Linked DNA regions of Xenopus tropicalis. The main gene of each other region encodes a partner of the protein of the gene in region 2 in a complex. Links are inferred from orthologs where the notes say so. Each region holds a gene or a part of one and is shown on either strand. Other genes may lie near its edges.

Evidence for each region.
Region 1: the proteins of dcc (region 2) and mapk1 are in contact, whole or in part, in a crystal structure (PDB 3O71), measured with the Rattus norvegicus proteins. The link is inferred for Xenopus tropicalis from reciprocal best matches to the Homo sapiens genes DCC and MAPK1. Residues at the interface, in NP_036973.1 of Rattus norvegicus: Arg1149, Pro1150, Pro1151, Asp1152, Leu1153, Trp1154, Ile1155, His1156; in NP_446294.1 of Rattus norvegicus: Glu107, Thr108, Leu113, Gln117, Leu119, Asp122, His123, Tyr126, Phe127, Asn156, Thr157, Thr158, Cys159, Tyr314.

What each region holds. Positions count from the first base shown.
Region 1 is NC_030677.2:154,036,361-154,040,181, forward strand, and holds part of mapk1 (mitogen-activated protein kinase 1), read left to right. Parts: intron 1-1,798; coding exon 1,799-1,930; intron 1,931-3,821. UniProt on the Homo sapiens protein: Serine/threonine kinase which acts as an essential component of the MAP kinase signal transduction pathway. MAPK1/ERK2 and MAPK3/ERK1 are the 2 MAPKs which play an important role in the MAPK/ERK cascade.
Region 2 is NC_030677.2:204,365,936-204,370,280, forward strand, and holds the start of dcc (netrin receptor DCC), read right to left. Parts: upstream 3,078-4,345; 5' UTR 2,582-3,077; coding exon 2,491-2,581; intron 1-2,490. UniProt on the Homo sapiens protein: Receptor for netrin required for axon guidance. Mediates axon attraction of neuronal growth cones in the developing nervous system upon ligand binding. Its association with UNC5 proteins may trigger signaling for axon repulsion.

The DNA.
Region 1 (3,821 bases), about 50 Mb from region 2:
GGCTACATGGGCAGGTTTAAGCTTCCGATTCGGGCCCTTCAGGTTGATTTTGGCAAATTATCTGCCAGTGTATGAGGCCCTTCGACATGGCCCTACCCTGCCAATATCTTGCTGAAAATTGGGGAGGTTTGAATCGAGGACTTCATTGACTTGTTGATTCGACCACTCCAATGCTTGTATTCCTGTCATTATGGTCTGATCATTTGGCCCTAGGTTCAGCCCAATATCGGTCACCTCGGTTAGGCATATCGGGAAAGAATCTCCCCGATAGAGGTTCCCAGTATGTATAAAAAGGTGATGTAAGTTGAGAGTTTTTAGCCCTAGTTGTGCCTTATTCATTGTGGTCTCCTCAGCAAATGAAGCTACTTCTATATTCTAGAATTCCAAGCAGTGCAACAGCCATTGGTACAGCGAACCTCCTTCCCCAGCTAGGTGTGTGTGTGGATTAGGTTTGGATGTGCCACAACGGCAGCTTGCTTGATTCATTAGGAAGGCACCAAAACCAGCTGGCCGTGAGACAGTACTGATCTTCACATGGGACATAGCATTGCTTTTGACATAGTACCCTTTTGGCAGTTTACTTTCCAGAATCCAGAAAAAGTGGGCAGTCTTTCTTAGCTGTTAAACTGTAGGTGAGTAGGTTCTCAGTCAACATGCTTTTGACTCCCTAGTTCAGCAGAAGCTGCCAGAACTTTTTGGTGGCAGCTCGGAATCCTCTGTTTATGAGAATAGATGCTGTGGTCATTTCATAATTGTTCTGATTTTCATATGCACCAGAGGTTACCTCTTTAGATTAGAGGAACAGAACTTTGGAACAGAGTAGGAAATTTTTCATGGCGAGGGCAGTGCGGTTGTGGAATACCCTGCTGAGTGAATTTATGATGGCAGATTCTGTTAAAGGGGACAAATACTATACATTTTTACAATGCACTCAACCATGTAAAATAATGTCAAATAGAAGTAAGTGCGTTTATTTTAATACCTTTTGGTTCAAATATGCCCATAACTGCTTGAAAACTGTGCTCTACCCAGTCCTTTTGCAAGCTTCCGGTTTAGACTCTTCAGTATGTGGCTGGGGCCCTGATAGACTTCAGTAACAGAGCAGCAGCTACTTAAAGTGCAGTGAATATGCATAGGGTGGGCAGGGCTTTGCAATGTCACAGGCAGTCTGTTCCTGCTCCAGCTATATAGTTTATAGCTACGTGCGTATATACGTGCATAGATCGGTATAAAGTGTGTGTATATATGTGCAGAGGGGTTCAACTTGATGGACTTTGGTCTTTGTCTTTTTTTCTCCAACCCAATCCGTAATCTATATAAACATGGTTCCATTTATTCCATTGCTTGCGAGGGTCAATGAGACCATAAAGAACAGCAGTAGGTTATCATTATAGGCACTGACTCCTGCTTGGTAAAATTTATAGCAACACTGATATTGTATTGCGGTCCACCTTTATTGGACAGTATTGTATTGCAGACCACTTTTTGGCACCCAGCTTAAAAGGAGTCTAGCTTTCATAAATATAATATATTAGAAGCAACGAGGGGTTCTATGACCATATAAAGGCACAAGGATAAAGGTCATTTAGGTCATGGACCTCTGACTTGACCCTCATATTAAAGAAGGGGTATATTTTATCATGTTTCATGCAGTCACGTGACACAAATTGCATTAGTAAGCACTTGTTATAACTGATTACATTACTAACAACCATTTCTAAGAATATAATTTACATGATTTTCATGGTTGCTGTGTCTTATAATTGTATGTTTAAGTTAACTGTTCCGTATTTTTCAGGAATTCTTGGATCTCCATCTCAAGAGGACCTAAACTGTATAATCAATTTAAAAGCTAGGAATTACTTGCTTTCCCTTCCTCACAAAAATAAGGTGCCATGGAACAGACTTTTCCCTAATGCAGATCCTAAAGGTAATTTGAATTCATTTTTTGGTTGGGGGTGGGGATGAAAGGGAAAGATTTTACTGTTCCAAGGAATAATATATTTTTAAACTGTATGCCACTTGTTTCAACCTATTGGTTGCATTAAGTGCTCTGTTAAAACAGTCGTCAGAATTAGTAAGAGATTGATGGTTTTTCATAAATTAAATGCATCAGGGACAATAATTTCCTACTGTCTGATATAGTCAAACCAGGAGCTAAGCTTTGTCAGTAATGTGTTCTCTAATACTTACTTTATGATGCAAATTATATTTAATAGAAGGTTTACTATTAGTCTACTTCTGCTGTTTTTAAAATCAATATACTGGTCGTTTACAAAGATCCATTAAGCAGGTTTGAACATTGATTCAACTGAGTAGGCTGAAAGAAGCGGTAATACAAGTTTGTGTATTTTGAATCTGACTATACAGTAGATTGATCCTTTTGTTTATTCCTATATTTTGCTTTGTGTTAATGTTATCCAGCGTACTGAAATATTTTTTACTGTGACCATTAGAAAGATTTACAGTTTTAAGCATATAGCCAGTGTTGGCTATAATATTGTAGCTACCATATTAAAGGAGAAGGAAAGGTAAAAAGTAAGCTTTTTAAGAAAGGTCTATGTAGATACAGCCATAAACACTTGCAGAACTGCTTCTCTGAGTCCTCGGTGAAAAAAAATTAATTTCTTTCCTTCTATTCTGTATACATGATATTCTGTGTCAGACTTCCTTCTCTTGGAAAAATCCTTTAGGACACAGCATAAGTCTGCTCAGTTTGCTCCTCTTGCCCTCCCTTCTGCTCTCTCTCCCTTGCCTCTGTACTGTAATCTTAGTTGAGAGCTGTTCCCTGCCTGTACGCTGCTGCTAGGAAGTGACGTCACACCAAGCTAAAATGGCAGCAGCTTAAACAAACAGAGGGCTCTTCTAGGGCTGTTTACTCAGGTATCATAAAGAGTTCTGAAGAATAAATATAGTATTCCAGCTCAAACTATTGTGACTAATCTATTGGCAATAAAATGCCTGAGTAGCTTTTCTTCTCCTTTAGAGTAAGTAAAGCCTAAAAACATCTGCATTGGAGTTTACCACAAAGTGCATTAATTTGCAGTCTCTCCACTTGTCAGTTCAAACCTGCCTGCAGAATAGGGCATTTTTATATTGCACTGTGTCTTCTAAACTATCTTTTATAAACCATAAGCCAGGCAAATACTTACCTGCACAATTGATTCATGGGGCACTTAATAGAAAAAGATCAGTTAGCTCCCAATTCTCCCTACTGATATGTTGTCAAAGAAATTCTAGCTTTGGGGGGAATCAAGGTGCTCTACATGTTCAGCATGAAATGTTGGTTAACAAGGGGTTTGTAAACGAATTAAAAGAGATTTAAGGGGGGGCGTGGCCTGCATGGCTTCCTGAGTGGACATGTGCCTGTGAGCTCTATCGCAACTATCCTGAATTTGCCTCTCTAGGCGACCTTACACACCAACATTTGAGCCACGATACAACATCTGACTTCATATAGATTATGGGTGGCAACAAGGCACAAATATCATGAGCAGAAGCCGCTGCCAAACTGGGACAGTTTTTTTGACAGCCTACACAAGATGGCGGCACTACCCCACCCAGAGAGGACAAAGAGGCCCATGCCCCGTTTCCTCTACAGGAACAAGCAATCCAGCTTGTCCTTGCAGCTAACAGACAGCCGAGTAGCTTTATCCTCCAAGCTTGAGGAGGTGAAAACTGACCTCTCACTTCTCCAAGCCGACCTGCAAATCTTGAGAGAAAGAACAACAGAGGCAGAGGGCCATATATCAAGGCTGGAAGACGCCTGCAACCCCCTGACAGCAAATGTGCAACAGCTCCAGTCGCAAAGTAAGCAACTA
Region 2 (4,345 bases):
TAGAAAATTAATCCTACTGCCCCGGCTGATAGAAATGACACAGAAATGGCAATTTCCCTGCCTGTAATTACAGATCTGGGCAGCGCTACCCAGGCAGTAAGGCGGAAAGGGCTCAGCCGCTGCTTTCTATGTTTGAAGACGGGGGTGTCAATCACGGGCTGCACTGCATTATGGGGGCTCCCAACTTCACGGTGACTGACAGGTCTGCTTCTCCGGGGAGCCGGCCGTCGGCCTATACAGCCAGTCAGTGGCCTTCTCTAATGGCTAAATCATTCAAATTAAACCAGCCTTGGGGGCCGCTGCCCCCCTTTCCATCAAGGCCGACCTGCCCCTTATAACGCTGCTAACGTGGTCATAAAATCAATTCACCATACCACGTTGCATTTTTTTTAATAATAAACACATGGAAATGCTACAGCAAGCACAGTAGTATTGATTTCGGGGCAAATGAACTGAGGGGAACCCAAGCACCAAGGCAACCTGTCTTTCCCGAGGGGCCACGTGTGCAACGTTGGTCTATATCGGAATTACCCCATTCATGGGGAGGGATTTCAATATCCCTATAATTCAGGCAAATGTATCCAATGTTGGGTTTATTTGCACCAAATGCCAATATCAATAATACATCATGGGTATGTATATAAGTAAGAAACCCCTTGCACTAGGGATCCCCACTACAAAATATATAAACTCATATACCACTCAATATTAGCCTAACGCGTTTCATGCTTACCCAGCACTTAATCATAGGCTCCAACCTCAAGTCCTACAACTCCCATCATCCACCCTCAAGCAAGTATTTACATTTCAACAATAGCAAGAAAATGGGCGTACCTTACTTAAACCCCCTATATTAATTGGGCTATTGAGTCTCGTTGGCACTGAGATTTCATTACATCTCTATTCAGATGTATGTTAGTAATACTCTCGTACCCTGTAGGAGGGGTAAAACATGTTTTCATCCAACCCACCCCCCACGCCCAGACGTGTTTCCCACTGTACCCCAGGTATAAGACCGTATTCATAAAGTAATAACAATTTTCATTAATATCATTGGGTCATACATGTTACCCCAATGGAGTGTGTGTCTTGGCGATCAAGTGAAGAATAAACCACTATTTTAATGATGAATAATAATAAATATTTTCTAATAATATTTCTATATTATATTTTCTATAACAAACAGAACCATTTACAAAGAAAAACTCAAAAAAGGCTGAATTGATTGGCAAAGCGGTGCCAATTGGCTCCCCAATGCTAAGGAAGTTTGAGTAAAAGAGCCGCAATTGCACCCCGGCCCCTTTAGTGGGCACCTCCTGCTGGTGTCTTCCTTTCACTACTATCACTTCTCCCTCCCCCCTGGCTCTCTGGTTGGAAAGAAAGAAAATAGCTCACTAGAAGGAGGGCTGGGAGTGTAAAGATTAATGAGAAGAGGCCAAGCAAAAGCTCCGGTGCCTTTACAGCTCCATTGCACATTTCCCAAGCCTGGATGCCAATGGTTGCTTCCGGTTCCCCCAACTTTTACATTTTATTTTTCTTTAATAATACAACTACATGTGTGTGCTGCCCGGCACCCTGGCATGAACTGCGCTGAGCAGTAGAATTCTACCAGAGCCGGTCGCTGTCCACTTCAGCACCATGTGAATGGACCCATCCATTGTATTGCCTCCTACAGCCCCAATGTGTGCACAACCCTTGCAGCTCAGTGTGCCATATACACAAATACAAGCAGTATATACTGTCACCTCAACCCCCAACCCTCAGTATCACAGAACTATAACCATCGTGCACTACACCTAGGTGCAACCAAGCTCTTGGTGACTTGCTACTTGACTTGATATTCCAGTCCCAAGCATTAGCACTGCGGAGCATGTTTGGGCAATAAAGACGTCCCTTATATGACACACACACACCCCATTGTCACATGTGAAATCACTAGCGAGCCCCCATTCATTCCACTAGTTTAATAGCATGAATTGGCACGCACAACTTTATGTAGTTGTGCCAGAACGCACCGTGCCCCATTATAAACCACGCTCCGCCGTATATAAATAGTCCTATTTGGCCCGAAGCCACCATTCTCTTCCAGATCTTGCAGGATAAGGAGAAGCTGTGAAATATACATCACTGGGGCTGGCGGAACGGTTTTACAAAACCAAAAATGTTTAAATTATTCACTTCTATCTTTAAAATATCACTTCGGCTCTAGGGACGAGGGTCTTAATAATTCATTATAAGATCTTGCTGCATTTTTTTTTCCCTTCTACTGCTTGTTAATATGTATGTGTGTGTATGTGTGTGTGTGGGTTTTTTTCCCCTTTAAAATACTGCAGCATGGATGTGAAGTAAAGAGGAGAAATGAAAGCTGCTATTCCTTCTCCAAACAAGCAAAGTGCAGAGAATCTCTATGAAATCGCTCCTCCGGGAGCCACACTGAGGGTCCTGGTTCCTAGGCTGGGGATGGAAGGGAATGCCGGAGATGTTACTTACCGGATACCGGGAGATTTAGGCTGAGCAGAGCGAATCCATGCAGGAGAAACACCAGCTTTGGTAGTGAATAAAATCCAAGACTATTCTCCATATTTCAGCAAACACCTCCCGATTTGTGTCCCAATTCCCAAGCACACTCATGCACACTCAACCCTGATTGCCTTAAATATTCCTGGTCCCTTGGCGGCTTCAGCAGGCAAAGTTAATGCTGGTCCAGTTCAGCATCAGCCCTGATGTACCCCCTTCCAAATAGCAAGTAAGTAGGGGCAAGCTTGTAGGGTGGGCTGAAGGTCCCAATGAAAACCATCCAAAGATAAAATCCTCCAGAATTAGATCCAGGTGCAGAAAATAAATCTGTAGAGGAGTCCCATGTCCCCAGTGCTGGATAAAAATAAAAATCAGCTTGGTAAAAAAAGGGGGTTATTAATAAAAAAAAAAAAGAAAAGCACAGGAGAGACTGATGCTTCCTCCTTCCCTGGCAGAGGAGAAAAAGACAGGGGCTTTAAAGAGCTCACTTGTTACTAGAGCAATCCACCAGCAGTGTATGTGAGCTAAGAATCAAATGTGTTCACCCATTGATCCACAGAAAGTGAAGAGGCTGGAGAGGAAAACAAGGAGCTGGGAAGCGCAGGAATGGGATGGAATGGGGATTGCGGAGGGGACAGCACTGGCTCCACTGGCTCTATACGGATTCTTTGTTCAGTCGCCAGTATGAAAGCATGAGCGGGGGCGCCCTCTGTCGGCGGCTGCTGGGAATGGCGGCAGCGCAGGGAGAAACGCTGGATCAGTGCGCGTCTTGCAGCTGCTACTGGGTCTTTACTGACAGCCCAAACAGGTTCCGAGCAGTTTAGATAATATGTATTATATATATATATATTATATGGAGGGAAAGGAGGAATGAGAGTTCTGCTGGCTGTCTGATCCTGCTCTCTCCTACAGGATACAATAGGCTGGGAGGGAAAACCAGAAATTCATTCATGTCATAAAAATGTCACAGAGTTACACTTTGTTTCATTCTGTGACTGGGGCATTAGCAGCATGGGGGGCTCACTGGGGCTCATTAACTACCCACAGACGCGCAAAGATGAACGCAGTTCAGTGCAAACTGACACTATTGGTTAGTATACAGGTATGGGACCCCTTATCCAGAATGCGAAGGACCGGAGAAGGGGTCATTCTGTAATTCGGATCTGCTACCTTAAGTCTGCTAAAAAAAAATATTTAAACAGTAATTAAACCCAAAAAGGCTGTTCTGCCCCCAATAAGGGGTAATTATATCTTAGTTGGGATCAAGTACAGGTACTGTTTTATTATTACAGAGAAAAGGGAATCATTTAACCATGAAATAAACCCAATAGGGCTGTTCTGCCCCCAATAAGGGGTAATTATATCTTAGTTGGGATCAAGTACAGGTACTGTTTTATTATTACAGAGAAAAGGGAATCATTTAACCATTAAATAAACCCAATAGGGCTGTTCTGCCCCCAATAAGGGGTAATTATATCTTAGTTGGGATCAAGTACAGGTACTGTTTTATTATTACAGAGAAAAGGGAATCATTTAACCATTAAATAAACCCAATAGGGCTGTTCTGCCCCAATAAGGGGTAATTATATCTTAGTTGGGATCAAGTACAGGTACTGTTTTATTATTACAGAGAAAAGGGAATCATTTAACCATGAAATAAACCCAATAGGGCTGTTCTGCCCCCAATAAGGGGTAATTATATCTTAGTTGGGATCAAGTACAACTACTGTTTTATTATTACAGAGAAAAGGGAATCATTTAACCATTAAATAAACCCAATAGGGCTGTTCTGCCCCCAATAAGGGGTAATTATATCTTAGTTGGGATC